Coturnix japonica: one gene and its partner. The protein of the gene in region 1 interacts with the protein of each later gene in a biochemical or structural test. Links are inferred from orthologs where the notes say so. Each region holds a gene or a part of one and is shown on either strand. Other genes may lie near its edges.

Region 1 (3,941 bases):
GGTATTTGACCTCCAGCCCACTTTTCAATTAAGCTTTACAAATAGCTGTATTTAATATTCTTGTTTGCTCTGCTTTTATAAATGTGAACACAAGATATTAATACAAGAGGGCTTTAATATATCATTTGAGGGCCAAAATTGCTCCAGTTTGAAATAATTGGTATATGTTATTCATACAGTATTATAAGTAGTTAGTTATTAAATGGCCAAGAAGTCAGAGCAAATGCCAAATGAAATGTTAACCAACAGGAAGACTACACATGAATTCGAAATGGCTTTAGATAATATGCATGCTTTCAGTCAATAAATACACCTTCATAAAAGTTTTACGTTAATCTATTTGTCTCCACCGCACAAGACACATTTATATGCAACTCCCTTTTAGTGCTGCACTAAGTAATTAGTTCAGAAGCACTTGGAATTCCTAGAATGCAGCAGTGACTTCTAGTAGGTGTGTTATTTTGTTCTAAATTTACATGGATTTCTGTGGTGTAATAAGGCAACAGAACTCACATCCACAGCAAAACTGTTTTCAAGAGTTGTTAAGCTGCTATCTGCTACCAGCAAAATACTTTTTGTAGGCTAGGAAATGGCAAGGCTCTCATCCCCTTGCCCTTATTACTCCCCTCCAACATTCAAAGTTTCGACTGAATGCTGCAGAGTGGTACAGAAGTACCATGTTGATTTCAAGACAGACGCAGGCAGTACTGGAAATCTCTCAAGAGTACCTGTGTTACTAACATGGCCAGTTCTATTCTGTAGATGCAGAAGTACCTGTGGTCTAAACACAAATACTTGGAGATGGTTTTAGGGAAAGCCACCCATGCCAGTAACCATACATCACAGTGAAGATATGGATGGATCCATGCGTTATGTGGGAAGTGTTAGCATTTCAGTAAAACACTGAAGAGGTGGTAAGAAATGCATACAAATAAGTGCATTTTCTCAGTATGGAGAAGAAAACAGAAAGGCTTTGAGCATCTATTCACTTCATATGAATCACTAAATGCTGATAGCTCATGTATTACAATTGATCATGGCTAGATCAACTGGCCTTGAGCTGAAGCTGCCATTTCTCCTCGCTTGCTTGGTTCACTGCTGACTTCAGTCTGCAGCAGCCACATTGTCTCCTGCTATACATGGGATCTGGTGTACACTTTGTGGGAAGTACAGTACATTGGTCTAAGAGGGTGATTTCACTTCACACAAAGCCCAGGGAATAATACTTCCTCCCTGTGTGCCTCTGAACACAAGTACTGCACACACTTTGTAGCCAAAAGCAGCTCAAACCAATAGCTGAACACATCTAAGCCCACTCAGGCAGAGCTATATATTTTTACTGAATGATCACCGCTGTCTAAAACAACGAGGGAGTTGTTTGCCGTGTAAGTTAGTCCTATGGGATAAGTAAGCCCATGGCTAACTAGAGGGTTAAAGATGGGAAACTCCTCAGGTTTCCCCAGGCATATCACAGCCTGACTGCAGACATCGGTTACGACGATGCAACCCTCTTTGTCAAAGGCCACAGCCGTGGTATATATTTTGGAGGGGAAAACGAGGTTCAGCCCAAAGCTATCCATCTGGCCAATGAGAGTCATGTCTGCGCTGAATATCTTCAATCGGGTGCTGCAGCTGCTTGGTCCTTTAGTATTCAGGTGCTCTATCACCACAACAGCACCCGAGCTCGGGCAGACCGCCACCCCTCTGGGGCACGTTAATTTGGACCGGACCAGCTGGCACTTCTTCAGCTCCCCCTTGCCAAAGTCGGCCGTCAGGCGGTACAGAGCTCCAGCCTCGGCGTCCGTCACCATCACGTCGCACTCGGGGGTGGCACCCAGTCCCCAGGGCAGGCAGAAGCCTTCCCGCACAGCCAGAGTCCCCCTCCCATCAAAGTCGAAGGCCTTCACCGAGCGGTCCCCGCCGTCGGTGACCACCACGTGCCCGTCCGCCGTGACCGTCACACCCAGCGGGTACTTGATGTCGTTGTCCGCGTCCCCTCGCTCCCCGAACCTCTGCAGGCAGGACCCGCTCGGCCCGAAGACGTGGATCCTCTTTTTGCCGTCGTGGGCCACCGCCAGGCGCCCCGAGCTCCGGCACGCCGCCACCCCCGTGGGGTTCAGCAGCGACCCCCAGCCGCCCAGCGACAGCTGCAGCCGCGGCGGGGCCGGGCCGCCGGCCGCCCTCCCGAGGGCCGAGGGGTTGAGGCCGCCGGGGCCCAGCAGCTCCAAGAGCTGCAGCAGCGGCAGGCAGTCGCTGGTCTCGCCGAGGTCGCAGGGCCGCCGGCAGAAGGGGCACTCCAGGCGTCGCCGCTCGGGGCCGCCCAGCGCCTCCACGCAGCCGCGGCACAGGACGTGTCCGCACGGCAGGTTACGCGGCCGCCGCTGCCCGTCGGGGCCGAACCGCTCGAAGCACACCCGGCACTCCACCAGGCCCAGCTCCGCCTCGTCCGCCGCCTCCGCCATCCCCGACGCGACCCGGCGGGACTCAGCGGGACGGCGCCTGCCCCCTGCGGGACGGATGCGGCGGTGCGGCCCGGAGCACGGGGCCCTGCTGAGGCCTCCAGCCTCCAAGTCGCCGTAACGGTGCTGCTGCTATTACAGAATCACAGAATGACCCGGGTTGGAAGGGACCTCAAGGATCATGTAGTTCCAACCCCCCTGCCTGGCAGGGCCACCAAACATACACATTTACTAGATCAGGTTGCCCAGGGCCCCGTCCAACCTGGTCTTGAACACCTCCAAGGACGGTGCCCTATATCGGGGCAAAGAAAAGCTATGCACAGCTGAAGGCAGGGAAGTCAGCTGTGAAGTCAGAGCTGATTCTGAAAGTAAAATCATCCAGACAAAAATGTTTCGCAGGCGTTTTTTGTACCCTGAAGCCTGCTTTAAGAGTGCCCCAAAACATGTAAAACATCAGACAAACATAAAAGGTAGGAGGTATGTTATTTTAAACTTACTTCAATCAAGCCACAAACTTTATTAGATACATGACTTCCAGAAAATAATCTAGTCCCCACTGCTTGTGTTTGTCTGAGAAGTCACTGACTTTCTGAAGACATTTAATTTCACACTGGCTGCCTGAAAAGGAAGAACGAATGACTGGTCAAAGAATGGAAAGTCACTGAAGAAAGTAAGACATCAGAAAACACAATCCTATGCACAGAGCTCCTCTTGGTCCCTAACAGCGTTACACAAATCAGCTGAGGAAACCTTACCTGTCTATACTGCACTGGCATGCAACTGTCCATAGCAATGACTCACTGCACACAGACACGTCAGAGGTCTCAGAAAGATGTACATTGAAAAGTGCAGTGTCAAAGGATATCAGGAAGAACGTTCAAAACTAAATACCTGCCACAATTCTAACATTATCTTTTTACTGGGATGGAGCTGTACATTTAGCATTTCTGTAGCATGACATTTTAATTTTCTTCTTTGCCAACAAAAGTACAGCAGAAATGGTAAAACCAATATCCAAAGGCCTTGCATAAAAAACAGGTGATGAGGTGCAGAGAAAGGTGAAATGGTCAAACAGGACTGAAGCTACAAGGCCACTACGTGCAATCTGGATCCTGAGAGGGCAAAAGGATGCCAGGGAAGGAAAGAGACAGCGCCTGCCTCCCGGGTTTTCCTCATGTCTTTTCAAGAGCTGCATTAACAGCAAAAGCCTTGTGACAGCACAGCATTTATTTCACTTATTACTTGTCCATGACTCAATATGTTATCTAAAATGTAAGCAGATGACTCCATCACTTGCTGTAGAAGCACACAAATACATATATGTGCTTTGCAAAATAAATTAATTAATTTAAAAAAACAAACAAACAAAAAAACCAAAACAATAATTCTAAGTGTTAGCTGAAGTACTACTTACCAAACAGGCTTTTAACTTCAGATTCAGGAACACAAAATGGTGGTCCTGTAAAGAAAACAGTGAAGCTA
Region 2 (4,085 bases), on another chromosome or scaffold:
CCACCCTTATCTTGAACACCTCCAGGGATGGTGACTCCACCACTTCTTTGGGGTTTTATGTAGACACAAGATGCTTTTAGGACTACTGCCACGCTTGAGGTAGAAAATCTAAGTTTACCATCGCTCTCTGTACTGCCCTTAATACTAAAATGAAAGTGTATGCTACAAGGGTAGATATTTGATGGATAATTATGAGACAGGTTGCAGGTAACTTGACTGTAAGGTCGAGCAAAAACAAGGATTAAAATGTGTTGCTTTGTTCCACAAAAGCAACAGGGCTAGGGGGAGGGCTGCCAGAATCCCCTTCACTTTGGTTATGTTTGGAACAGAGGTGGCATATCACTTACAAAAGTTGAATTGGGATCAGTGAAAATGAGCTCAAGCATTCTTAAAAATACATTTGGCAGTACATATTCTTCAGTGTGTCATCGCCATCGAACACAGGAAACAAGCAGCCACCTTTTGAAGCAGGATTTCTTTTGACTCACTGAAAGGCCTTCATCCTGTTCCCAGAACTTGACCTAAATAAAGTTACTACTTCTCTGTTTCTGTCTTTAAACGCTTCTGAAATGGGTGTATTCAGACAAGGACCGTCCTATAAATGGTTGGATCGCATCCTTTCCCTCAGTCTTTGCAAGCCCTGAATATTGCTACATGTAGGAGCTGCCAAATTACAGCCAGAAGGGCAAGCTAGAATGCAGGCAATTGAGAGCAGCAGAATTGTTGAAGAGCTGTCTACCACCTGCTGCCCCCACCAGTCCCTCACATTCCTGGTCTCACCATGGCTGGCATCTCCCTGCCTACAGAGGAGGTATAACTGTCCTGAGCACTAAGCACGTTATTTGGGACCAAACCTTGAGGCTGTTTGTAACACCGCAGGTATAGCAGTGATTTAATGAGGTGTTTGCAGCACTAAATTAAGTCTCTCTGGACTAATTGCAGCAGCTTCATTGAACAAAGCAGTAATGCTCGCTAAAGTCAATATACGTAACGAGCAACCCTTTGCAATCTCAGTTCATTAGTTATCTGCTGGGATAATAGTCACGGATGCACTGAATAGCCCGAGTTGGAAGGAACCCACAAGAATCACCCTGGCTCCACACAGCACCTCCCAAAATCAAACCTTACGAAAGCAATGTCCAAACACTCCTTGAACTCTGACATTTGAGGCCGTGCTGCCGAGCAGCCCATCCCATGCCCTCAGCGGGCAGCCAAAGCGAGGCACAGCCCCAGCCGGAGCGCCCCGCCCGCCCCGGTCCCCCCTCCGGAAGTGAGGGTGCGGGGCGGCCCCTGGCGGCGGCACGGCTTCATTCCCCCCACCCCATACCCTGCCGCCTTCGGCCCGGTACAGCTCGCCATGCTGTTCCGCTTCGGCGTGGTGCTGCCGGCCCGCATCGCAGAGTGCGGCGGTGCGCTGCTTGTGGCCGGCTCGCGGCCGGAGCTGGGCGAGTGGGACCCGCAGCGCGCCGTGCCCATGCAGCCAGCACGGCCGAGCGCAGCGCTGGCGGCCCAGGAACCGGTTCTGTGGCTGGGGGAGGTGCTGCTGCCGGACGAGGACACAGCCAGCCCCTTCTGGTACAAGTTCCTGCGGCGGGAGGGCGGCCAGCTTCTATGGGAAGGTAAAGGCGGGGCTCGGGCGGAGCGGGGTGGGGCTGGCAGCTGACGCGGCGGGCCGGGCCAGGCAGGGCTGCGGGGGCTGCTTTTCTCTCTTGTGTTCTTAAGAGCTCAGTTACTTTAGTCAGTTTCTACGAGCTGTTGTTGTAGATACAGAAGTATGAAGCTGTAAATTCTGCCCAGGGAGGTGGTGGAGTCTCCTTCTCTGGAGATATTCAAGACCCGCCTGGACGCCTACCTGTGCGACGTGGTGTAGGGAGCCTGCTTTGGCAGGGGGGTTGGACTCGATGATCTCTAGAGGTCCCTTCCAACCCCTACAATTCTGTGAAATTCACCTCTCCTCACTGAGGAAAGGATCAGACTTGGTGAATAGAAGACGGATGATTAAAGAATTCACCACGTTTTTATCCAGTTTTGTAATCCGTGTAGAGAATAGCACGTTATAGAGCAGTTACTCCTCATCCTTTTTCGGGGTGTGTATTTAAGCAGCCAATCTCAGGTTGCCCAGAGGTGGTGGGAGCTCAGACCTTGGAAACACTCAAGGTCAGGCTGGACGGGCTCTGAGCAACCTACTCAAGCTGTAAGTGTTCTTGTTCACTGCAGAGCAGTTGGTCCAGATGGCCTTTAAGGATCTCTTCCAACTCAAATGATACTATGATTCTGTCACAGGGAGTGACAGGTTGGTGGCTTGTGTCCTGTGTCTTGAGGGGAACTGGTTCCTCTCGGTAGGAGGATGAGGTGGGAGAGGAGGCTGTTGTTTCCCCAAAGGGTCAGATGCTTGCAGTGACCCGAGGTGATGACACTGATGCTGGTGCTCACCTGGGGCCTGTGCCTTAAAGCCATCGGGCCCTTTGGGCTCACATTGTGATTCCTGCATGTGCTGTGGTCCAAATAATGTTTCTTTGGCAATGGTACTTTGCTTACCTGCTGTGAGTTCAGCTGAAAGGCCTGAAATACAGGAAGATTAAGTGTGTGATATTTATCAAAAACCAGTTAATGATGTTGAGCTTCAGAGTCTAGAAGAATTTTACCCAATAGAATAATAAGGGAATATCAATGCTATCTTCTTTTCAGCAACATCCTTTCTGTATTTCTGTAATCTGTTTTTGGTGTAGATTCTTTAGAACTGGATTTATACATCTCTTTCAGTCTGTGGTCCAAATAAACTGTAGGTACTATGCAAGATAAATGTTCCACTGAACAACAAAGGAGATATTAAGGGTATGCCCCAAACTGTTCTGAGATGATGCAATATGGTCTCTTGGTACCTGAGCTTTTGAGGAGGGGAAAGTAAATGTTGATCCATGTTCACATAACAAACATTACTTTGGGGGCAGATGGTTCTCTGTGGTTCCTTGGGAGTCTTCAGTTCAATTTAGAAGCAGCCTCTGGCTGTGGATGTTGACCTTGGTATGGTCCATTGTAGGGGATTGTGGCTCAGTGTCTGTGTAGCTTCTCTTTATTTTGGCTTTGGCTACTAATTTCGTAGATTAAGTGGAAAGGGAAATTTGTTGATTTGTTAATAGTTTGTTTAACGTTTCTTCAGCCCTTTTAATGGAGCTGCTTTATGCAGCGTTGCTCCCACTGGGTGTCGCCATTTTACCTGTGTATAGCTGTGTACAGCCAGGGGCTGCTTCTCTTGCAACTGCTCGCAAATCTCATCAGTATTTAGTCCAGCATCATCTGTTCTGCTTTTGAAAATAACACGGGGTTTTATTTCCTTCCTCCATTCTAGTCCTGTTCTAAAGAAGATAATGTCTAGGAAGGAACAAAAAGTGCAGTAGGATGTTGATAGCTGAATAATTGTGTGAGCCTGTTGCATCCTGTGTGGTACTGGGTGCTCGAGAACCTTTCAGCTGCGAGGGAACTTTGCTATGAGCAAAACTGAATAAGTTTGAAACCTGCTTCTGAATACAGCATAATGAATGGAGAGAAGCTTTTGTTTACAAAGTACAGTAGCTCCTGGTCTTCTGTTCTTCAGCTCCCTCAGCACATATAATGACATGATTAGTAACAAGGTTTTTCTTCCTTTCTGTCTGTATGTCAGCATTAAGCAACTTAAGCTGAGCAGTCGACTGGAGATGTATAAAGCAATGGAGAGTTGCCCGAGAAACTGCAAAATTAGAAGAGTGAAAATAAGCATGTGCAATGGTATTTGCCAAATCCATACACATGAATTGGACAGGTATGTGTCATCCCTACCCACAGTGACAACTGCAGGGCAACTCTGATTGCTGTGAAAGGCTATTAAACATTTGTGGTTATAATGATGAAATAAATGTATTGATTATGCAGATGCCTCACTTATTGCTATCCACTCCTTCTCCTCACTTCTAAGGGACAGCAGAATTTAGTATGGGTCAATAATTTATTTTCAGTGTTGAAAAGCACTGAGCAGTAGAAAAATAGGTAACTGGGATAATCTTTTGATTAAGATTTTGCCATAGTTACAGTCTAGATATAGTTTGTTT

The links. The genes of interacting proteins can lie anywhere in the genome.
Region 2: the proteins of NHLRC1 (region 1) and EPM2A form a complex in vitro, tested with the Homo sapiens proteins (3 studies listed by BioGRID, with this or other methods). The link is inferred for Coturnix japonica from reciprocal best matches to the Homo sapiens genes NHLRC1 and EPM2A.

What each region holds. Positions count from the first base shown.
Region 1 is NC_029517.1:68,538,944-68,542,884, forward strand, and holds the start of NHLRC1 (E3 ubiquitin-protein ligase NHLRC1), read right to left. Parts: upstream 2,809-3,941; 5' UTR 2,463-2,808; coding exon 1,317-2,462; 3' UTR 1-1,316. Other genes in the region: TPMT (thiopurine S-methyltransferase), read right to left, coding at 2,962-3,077, 3,874-3,918. UniProt on the Homo sapiens protein: E3 ubiquitin-protein ligase. Together with the phosphatase EPM2A/laforin, appears to be involved in the clearance of toxic polyglucosan and protein aggregates via multiple pathways.
Region 2 is NC_029518.1:41,848,288-41,852,372, reverse strand, and holds the start of EPM2A (laforin), read left to right. Parts: upstream 1-1,283; 5' UTR 1,284-1,357; coding exon 1,358-1,619; intron 1,620-3,661; coding exon of another isoform or gene 3,662-3,799; intron 3,800-4,085. UniProt on the Homo sapiens protein: Plays an important role in preventing glycogen hyperphosphorylation and the formation of insoluble aggregates, via its activity as glycogen phosphatase, and by promoting the ubiquitination of proteins involved in glycogen metabolism via its interaction with the E3 ubiquitin ligase NHLRC1/malin.